2 linked regions of the Canis lupus familiaris genome follow. The protein of the gene in region 2 interacts with the protein of the main gene of each other region in a biochemical or structural test. Links are inferred from orthologs where the notes say so. Each region holds a gene or a part of one and is shown on either strand. Other genes may lie near its edges. The genes, in order: GTF2F1 and CDK9.

The links.
Region 1: the proteins of CDK9 (region 2) and GTF2F1 form a complex in vitro, tested with the Homo sapiens proteins (2 studies listed by BioGRID, with this or other methods). The link is inferred for Canis lupus familiaris from reciprocal best matches to the Homo sapiens genes CDK9 and GTF2F1.

The regions. Positions count from the first base shown.
Region 1 is NC_049241.1:54,168,355-54,172,684, reverse strand, and holds the start of GTF2F1 (general transcription factor IIF subunit 1), read right to left. Parts: upstream 2,970-4,330; 5' UTR 2,507-2,969; coding exon 2,495-2,506; intron 2,409-2,494; coding exon 2,362-2,408; intron 1,841-2,361; coding exon 1,768-1,840; intron 1-1,767. Other genes in the region: adenylate kinase isoenzyme 1-like, read left to right, coding at 3,154-3,247. UniProt on the Homo sapiens protein: TFIIF is a general transcription initiation factor that binds to RNA polymerase II and helps to recruit it to the initiation complex in collaboration with TFIIB. It promotes transcription elongation.
Region 2 is NC_049230.1:55,704,187-55,708,533, forward strand, and holds the start of CDK9 (cyclin-dependent kinase 9), read right to left. Parts: upstream 3,071-4,347; 5' UTR 3,003-3,070; coding exon 2,911-3,002; intron 2,452-2,910; coding exon 2,370-2,451; intron 1,569-2,369; coding exon 1,478-1,568; intron 1,132-1,477; coding exon 965-1,131; intron 843-964; coding exon 671-842; intron 514-670; coding exon 365-513; intron 1-364. UniProt on the Homo sapiens protein: Protein kinase involved in the regulation of transcription.

The sequences.
Region 1 (4,330 bases), on a different chromosome or scaffold from region 2:
TGGATGAGGGAAAAGGGGCTCTCCCACTCAATGAGGGATGGCGGTAGTATGTTAGTATGTTCCCAAGGTATTTACCAAGTTATTCCTCTTAGTGAGGGGTGTTTAAAGCTGGGACCCCCTGATGTGTGGGTATCTCCCTCTTGGATGATCAGTGATAAAGAATGCCCCACCCCACCCCCACCCCCAGAGTGATCAGGGATTTGGAAACACTCCACCTTCTCTGGGTAATTTAGGTGAGACCAGAGGTTGGGGGAGCATGTTAGTTTGTATATGAATGTGCATACGGCTGGAGATGCTGGGGGGCAGGCAGCCTACAAGGGAAGAGGGTGCCCTGAGCAAGCATCCACCTGCCCAATATCCAGAGGGACTAACGTCTCTTTCAAATAGCCTCACTTGCTCAACTAGATGAAGGGATGTTTAAAAACAGTCAAAAGACAGACCGGTGCTGAAAACAGGATGAGCAGCAGGAGCTGCCTGAAGCTGCCAACTTTAGACCTGGGCCAACTCCTGTGCTGGGCTGGTCCAGTCTCTGTGGCTTCAAATGCTGCCCCCAATGCCCAGATGCTCCCTCCCAGTCTCCCAACTCAGATGCTCCACTGCTTATTTACTGTCTCCTCCTGGGTGTCTGATATAAGATGTTGAGAACTGAACTCCCAATACTCTGTCCATCCGGCCCTGTCACCCGTCAACATCCAATCATTAACAAATCATGTTGGCTCCACTTTAAAACACACTAGAATCCACTGACTTCTCACAACCGCTGTTTGCTCCATGCCCAGTCGTCACTCACCTGGACCACCGCCGACGCCTCCACCCTGCAACACCCTTTGTCTGCCCCTGATCCTATAGCACCCAGATCAGTTTATAACTCCCCTGTTTAGAACCCTTTAAAGGTTTCTGCTATAGACTGAATGTTTGTGTTTTTTTTTTTTTTTTTTTTTTTTTTTTTTTTTTTAAATTTTTTTTTTATTTATTTATGATAGGCACACAGTGAGAGAGAGAGAGGCAGAGACACAGGCAGAGGGAGAAGCAGGCTCCATGCACCGGGAGCCCGATGTGGGATTCGATCCCGGGTCTCCAGGATCGCGCCCTGGGCCAAAGGCAGGCGCCAAACCGCTGCGCCACCCAGGGATCCCTGAATGTTTGTGTTTTATCCCAAAATGCATATGATGAAACCTAACTCCCGGTGTGATGGTATGGGGAGGTGGGGCCTTGAGAAGGGGATTAGGTCCGAAGGGTGGAGTCCTGGTGAATGAGATGAGTGCCCTCTTAAGAGCTCTCTCACCCCCTCTGCCACGTGAGGACACAGTAAAAAGACAGACATCTACGAACCAGGAGGCAGGCCTTCACCAGACCAAACATCTGCTGGCGCCTTGCTCTCAGACCTCCTAGCCTTCAGAACCGTGAGAAATAAATATGTGTTGTTTAAAAGCCACCCGGTCTGCGGTATTCTGCTGTAGCAGCACCCATGGACAGAGCTTCCAAAAACCATCTGCAGGCTGCAGCCCCCTCGGCCTTGCCCAGATGACTCTAGGCTGGAAATGCCCGTCAGGGGGCACAACTTCTAAATGCCATCCTTTCATGAGGCCTCCTGTGGGGCCTGCCCAATCTTCCTCACAGGGATCCCTAGCAGCTCAGCCTGGGCCTCAGTACATCGTCTTATCCCCACTCGGGGAGCGGGGTCGAAGCCAAGCCTTAGTTTTACCACTGTAACTAAGCGCCTATTGCAGGATCAGGTTCTTACGCTCACTCCCAACGGGGACTTACCTGATTCCAGGTAGCAAAGTTGACTTTGTCAGCAGCATTGAAGGCCATGATGTTGTATTTTTTCGTTGTGTTTCTGGGGTGGGCAAAAAGAGGGCTGCTCTCAGTTCACCGTTCATTTAACAAACCCTCCCTTGGCTCAGCAACGCTGGGGACCCACAGAAGCCCTCAGGGGTTCCCGGTCTCTCCCGACCCCTCTGCTGAAGAAGAGCAGGAGGGGAGGCATAAAGGTCGGGGGACGGGGGGTGCCCAAGGTGTGGGAATAATGGAGACCTCTGTCCTGGGGGCGGGGGCGGGGGAGGGCAGGCAGGGCATGTTTCCCAGAGGAGGAAGATCGTGGGGCTGGGTTTTATAGGACCGACAGGAGTCACAACGCCAGGGAAAAGGCCTTCCTGCCGAGAGAAGGCTAGGCCAGGGGGCTGCATCCGACGTACCGCCCACTAATGGGCTCATTCATTCATTCCGTTGCAAACACGGGATGCACCTCGCTCAACCCCAGCCCTGGGCCCAGGTCCCTGCTCCTCGGGAGGCGGCATCACCGGCGGCGCCAGGCTGGCCTGGGAGCTCAGGAAGCGGGGAGAGGGCTGCGGGACTTACTTGGGAACTCGGACGACATACTCGGTGACGTTCTGGCTGCTGGGGCCCTGCGGGCAGAGAAGGAGGGGCGGTGGGTGAGTGGGGGGCTGCAGAGGCGGCGCGCCGCGACCCCCGAGCTCCCCCGTGTACTCACGAGGGCCGCCATGGTGACGGTCGGGGGTTCGGGTCCGCTGCGGCCCGCGCCCCTCAGTCCCGGGGAAGCCGCCCGCGCGCCGTCGGGTCTCTGGCCCGGATCGAGGGGGCCGCTACCCAGAAGTCGGTCTTCTCGGGGAACCGCTCCGGCCGCGTCTGCGCCTGCGCCTAACCTGGACGTGACACTCGGGCCGCGGCGCGACGGCAACCTCCTCCGCGTCACCTAGCTCCCCGAGTCCCGCGGAGCGGACGGCCCAGACCGACCCCGACGCGGAAGACACCCCGGCTGCGGCGGAAGCCGCGTCGCGCCTCTCTATAAAGCGCGACTGATTTAATCAGCCTGTGGCCACGCCTCCTCGTGACATCACATCCGGGGGCCGCGGGGCGTCCTGGGAGAGGAGGGAGGAACCTAGCCTCCCTCGCGAGCTCTCGGGCGCCTCGCGCATGCGCCACTGCACTCCGGAAGTGAGTCGGAGGAGGCCGCGTCACCATAGCGACCGGGGCCTCTTAGTCCGCGCCGAGCTGTTGGGGCGCCGCCAGCTGCGCCCCTTTGGGTTCATTTCCTCCTTCTGCCCCGGGGAGACCTCATCGTCTCGCCAAGTGATCGGGCCCTTGTGACGTAGAGCCGAGCCAGGAGGAGGAGTCAGGGCCCGGGTGGGGATGGGGCGCGACCACCCCAGGGCCGCTGGTGGGATGGGTCTGTGCAAGTCCAAGCTGCCCGAGGTGGGCAGGCCCCTGCGACCCCAGGAGAAGGGTAACGTCGCAGGGGCGGCTGGCTCACGGGGCGGGGGGGAGGAAGGAGGCCGTGAAGGGCACGAGGGAGGTGCAGGTACCCCACACCCCAGGCCGGTGTGCACACGCCCCGCCCCCCACCCACCGAGCTGCACGTGCTCGAGGATCAGCCGCGCTTTGATCCGCTTGGGCACCTGCTGCGCGGGGTTCTGGGCACTCCACGGCGAGTATGTCACACTAGCTGTCCGGCCTCCAGGAGATGACAGTGTAGACAGGGAAGGAGACAGTCTCAGAAAAATGGGATCGGCGAGCAGGAGGGAGCAGGGCTGCCACGGGGAGAGAGGAGCCGGCTCTGCGGCCCCCAGGAGAGGGGAGGTTTAAAGTTTACGTTGGGCCCTGTGGGATGCCTGGGAATTCACTAAGCCAAGCGGGAGGGAAGCAAGACACGGAAATTGCATTATCGACTACTGCGCTGCCTTAGAGACGCCTGGTAGCCACGCACCTTCGTTTGCTCATCACCCGCTACCGCACGTCAGGGACCGTGGCAACTGGTAGAAACCCGGGGACCAGCAAGACAGAACTGGTCCTTGCCCTCCCGGAGCACAGAGTGTGGCTGGGGAGACGGACAAGAACAAGGAAACAGGCAAAATCCTAGCTGACCGTGGCTGCTGCAGTGGAGGAAATGTGGCCCTGGGACGGGATGATGCGGGGGGAGGTCGGGAGGGGAAGCCTGATGGGCGGGCGGGTGGGCTGTGTCCTGAAGGCGGCGGAGCAGGGACTTGGCGTGCAGGGGGAGCAGCGGGAGAGGGATGAGTTTGGCAAGTTCAAGGGACAGAAGAGGCCAGGGGGGCTGGACCAGAGGGAAGGAGGAGGAGGGCGTTGTGGGATGGCCCAGAGGGGGCGCAAGTCTGAGCCTGTTTCCTCAGCTGTCAAACGGGACAATCGAGTCATTGAGGTTTTCAAGGAGATGCTGTGTGCAGAGGGCATGGCCTGCTCGCAGTCTGCATCCTCTTCGCAGCCCCCCAAACCCGCCCCTGTAGCAGCGCTAACCCGTGCCCTGTGTGGATATACCACTGGGCATGGATGCACACCCCCAGATGCCACC
Region 2 (4,347 bases):
TGAATTTGACCTCTCCAAGGTAGAAGCAGCAGTGACCACATGTCTGGCACACACCAAGCGCCAGGCCCTTTTACGTGGTCATCTGAAATATGTCCACCAAGCCTGATACAGGCATAGTTGTTTCACGGAAGAGAAACTCAGCTCCGAGGTGAGGGATGCAAACGCCCTCCCCAGGGCCATGAACTGTGATGGAAGTGAGACTCAAGCATAGCCCATGCGACTCTAAAGAGCAGCCCCTGTCCCTCCACCAGCCACCTCTCCAGAACTTTCCTGCTATTTCACTCCCCACTCCTCCCTTGCCAGGAGGACTTCTGGATCTCTGCGTCCTGTGGGGACCAGGGGCCCAGGCAGCCTGGCCACGCACCTCAGGGGTGATGGAGCCACAGAGCTGGCTGATGAGGGCAAGCTGGTGTTGCTCGGTGTTGCCCTGCATGATAGGGCTGCGGGTCCACATCTCGGCCATGATGCACCCAGCACCCCACAGGTCAATGGGGGGGCCGTAGTCCCGCTCCCCTGGGAAGAAGAGCGCACCAGGAGGGCCCCTTGAGCCCGAGGGCCTCCTGAGACGCAATGCCCCAGGGCCGGCGGCTCAAGAAGCCCTGGCAGTGGGGGACTGAGGCCGGGTAAGTGCCCAGCCCCTGCCCCACTCCGCCCGCTCGGGAGTCCTCACCGAGCAACAGCTCCGGAGGCCGGTACCAGAGCGTCACCACACGGTTGGTATAGCGATTGGGCTGGCTGTTCTTGGCCAGGCTGAAGGCCCGGGCCAGCCCAAAGTCGGCCAGCTTCAGAACCCCATCGCGAGTGATGAGCACATTAGCTGCCTTCATGTCCCTGTGCAGGATCTGCAGGAAGCGCAAGAGGGCTCAATCAGGTTTCCAAGGGGAACCCTCAGTCGCACCCACCCAGCGGTGGGAGCCGAGGCCCACCCCAGCCCGGGTCTCTCTTACCCCATGCTGACCCCCACCTTGTTTCTGTGGATATAGTAGAGGCCGTTGAGCAACATCTGCATGACCTTCTTGATCTCAGACAGTGTGAACTTGACCAAGACATTGCTCAGCAGCCCAGCAAGATCGTGCTCGCAGAAGTCAAACACTAGGTATATACTGCCTTTGCAGCGGTTATAGGGGGAAGCTGGGAGGGAAGAATGGGGGAGGAGTAAGAAAAAGAAAGTAAAAAACCCCACGTGCAACTCATTTCCCCACACAGCTTCTACCCCTCCAGCCCGTGGACACTGGGATATTCGGCTGTGCCTTCCTTCACTGGAAAACTATTTCCTGAGTGCCTCCTCTGGGCTGGGTGCTGTGGCAGGCCCTCGAGGAGCAACAGCTACGATGGAAGGACCCAAGAGCAGTCACAGTCGGTTTGTCTGGGTTAAGAAGAGGCAATTTAGGTGTGTCCACTTCCAACTTTGCAAAGCCTTAGGCAGTAAGCCTCATTTTCCCCATCTGTAAAGGGGGGCAGGAGCCAAAGAACCTACCTTTGGTTCGACAGATCTCAATTAAGTTGACCACATTCTCGTGTTTCAGAAGCTGGAGGATCTTGATTTCCCGCAAAGCCGTAATGGGGAACTGGGTAGGAGAAAGGCAAGAGGGGGCCTGAGGTGAGCGAGTCAACTATAGACCAATGAACAGACCAATGAACAACCGTGTGGTCCAGATCAAGGGGCACAGGTGCAGCAAACGAGTAAGGTCCCGGGCTCTGACATCATTTCAGATGTCTTAGCTGTAAAATGGGTGTAAAAATAGTATGTGCCCCTCAATGAGTTGCTCTGAGACAATGAACTGAAACAGTGGGACTTAATACCTACACACTTCACTACTCGTCACTAAATAAATGTTCCACAGTTTCTTCAATATTTAAGTTTTAGCTCTATACCTGTATTTAACTTACTAGGTGGAAACAAACAGCTATTTAAGGAAATGTCCTTGCTAAGCAGGTCTCTGGGAAGCTGGACTAGGGCTACAATGAGGCAAGGGAGGGGACTGCTCCTTTTCAACTGAGTACCAGCCACTCCCTTAAAACCACCAAGTGGAATTTCTTTCCGCCTTATGCAAAATGAATGCTAAGGAAACCGTGTTTAAAGGCTTCCTAACTTCAGGAACTAAGGCACACTCTGCAGGCATGAGCTCCCCCTCCTGGCCCCAACCGTATTTACCTAAGAGTGGGATATCAAAAGCTCTAAAACATTTGAATTAAAAAATTCAATTTGGAAGCCAAATTCCCCGAATACGGAAATTGCCTAACTACCCCCCCCCCCCCAACACACAGACACACAGGTTCTCCAGACGAGAGCCCTAGCAGAAGCAGGGTGGAAACCCAACCCCGAGCCCAGGGGAGCTGGCAGGCCCGCCCACCCGGCCCATACTCACCCCCTCCTTCTCGTTCTCCATCAGCACTTTCTTCAGAGCCACCTTTTTGCCGGTCTTACGGTGCTTTGCCTTAAATACCTCCCTGCAGGCCGAGAGGGAGACCCAAGAGGTTTTATCAGGCCGTTTCTGCAGGGCCCGCCCCTCCCCCACCAGAGGAGGGGGGCAGAAAAAAGGGATTCCCCGGGCGGGGCTGGGCCGGGGACCCAGGGCACTGCCCTACCTTGCCACCCGCTATCTGCGGAGCTTCGAGCCTCTACTTCCTCCCCTCAGTCTCCTCACTCAGGCGTCTCTCGGAGAGCCCGCTCCCACCACTGGCTCCTCTCCGTAACCCCTCCCCGCCCCCCATCACAGGCCTCAGGCTCCTCCCCGCCAGCCGGCTCGGTCAGGCCCAGGCGGGCCGCAGCGCGGCCTAGCAAAACCAGGGGACACGTCTGGCGCTCATGGCCTTCCCGACCACCTCGGGCCCGGCCCTGGGCATCGTGACGTCGGATTTGAGCGGTGCAGGCCCAGAGCGCCTGGTCCCCCGGGGGCGCAGCCTTACCCGAAGGTGCCTTGGCCGATCTTAGCGAGCTTCTCATATTTGGACACCTCATCACAAAAGGGACACTCCACCGAGTCGTACTGCTTTGCCATGGCCGCCTCCAGCGCGCCGCCGCCGCCGCCCCCAGCCGCCGCCGCCGCCGCTGCTCCCGCTCCGGGTCCCGCCGCCGTGCTCCAGGCCCCTCCGCGGCCGCGCCACTTCCGCCTCCACGGCCACTTCCGGCCTCGCGGCGCCGACCCCGCCTCTTCCGTCCGCCGCCCGCCGCCAGGCCCCCTGGGACTTGTAGTTCCCGGGAGGCCAGGAGCAGCCGGAGCTGCAGAGGCGCCTCCGCCGCCGCCGCTGCCCCCGCCTCCGCCGCCGCCACTGTTGGCGGCTGCCCCGATCGGGGGCGCGGGGAGCCGGGGCGCCGGGGCTGGGGCTCGGGGCGGTGCGTCCCGCTGCATCGGCCCGGGCCGCCGCTGCTGCCGGAGCCGCTGCCGCTCTGGCGCCCGATCCGGGGCCAGCCGCAGTGCCCTGCTCCTCCTCCTCCGACGGCGCCGCCTCCGCCGGGCTGCGCGGGGCGGCGAGCGGGGGGGTGGCCCCCGAGCCGCGGCCTGGGGTCTCCCTGGCCGGGCCCGGGCCCGGGGCGGCCGGGCAAGGGGGCGAGATGGGAAGAGCCGACGAGGAGGTGGCCCGAGAGCCCGGGAGGGGGCGCGTTATAAAGGGGGAGGTGCCCTGGCCTCGCCCTCCCCTCCCCCTCCGCCCGCCCCCCTCCCTCCTCCCTCCCACCCTCCGCGGCCGCACCTGCCGCCGCCGCCGCCGCCGCCGCCGCCGCCGCCGCCGCCGCCGCCCGCTGTCCGCCGGCCGCCCTCGGCGCGTCACCGCCCGCGGCCCCTCCTCCGCCTTCGGAGGTGGGGCCCCGAGCTCGACACCTGGCTGCGGAGCGCTTTGTCGCGTGCCTCAGTTTACCCCCCCATGCTAGCTGCCGCGGAGAGCCCTCTCCCCGGCTCGGAGTGCCCCTCCGCTGGGAAAGGCGGGAGGCGCCGAGGGAGCGGCCTCCGGTCCTGGGAGGAGAGAACGGCCCCCGCCGCCGCCTCCCCAGGCCCCAGCCGCCCGCCGTTGACATGGCAACCGACGGCCGCTAGGGGGCGCGGCGACACTGGAGACGGCGAGCGAGCAACGCCCGGGCCTTCCTGCCCTGGACCCCCAATTTTCTGGGAGGAAGGGATGAGACCCGCGGGAGCCCTATGCCCACCCAGCTGCGTCCGAGCGGGTCAGTCCCGGGTCAGTAATCACAAAAATGGCTAGCATTTGCTCAGAACTCCTGTGTGTTCAGGAATCGCTGGGCATTCCTGCTGAATCCTGCTGAATCCTCAATCAGGCGCCCCATGGGCAGGTTAACTAGCCCATTTTACAGAAGAGGGCATTGAGGTTCAGAGTGGTGAGGTCATTTGCCCA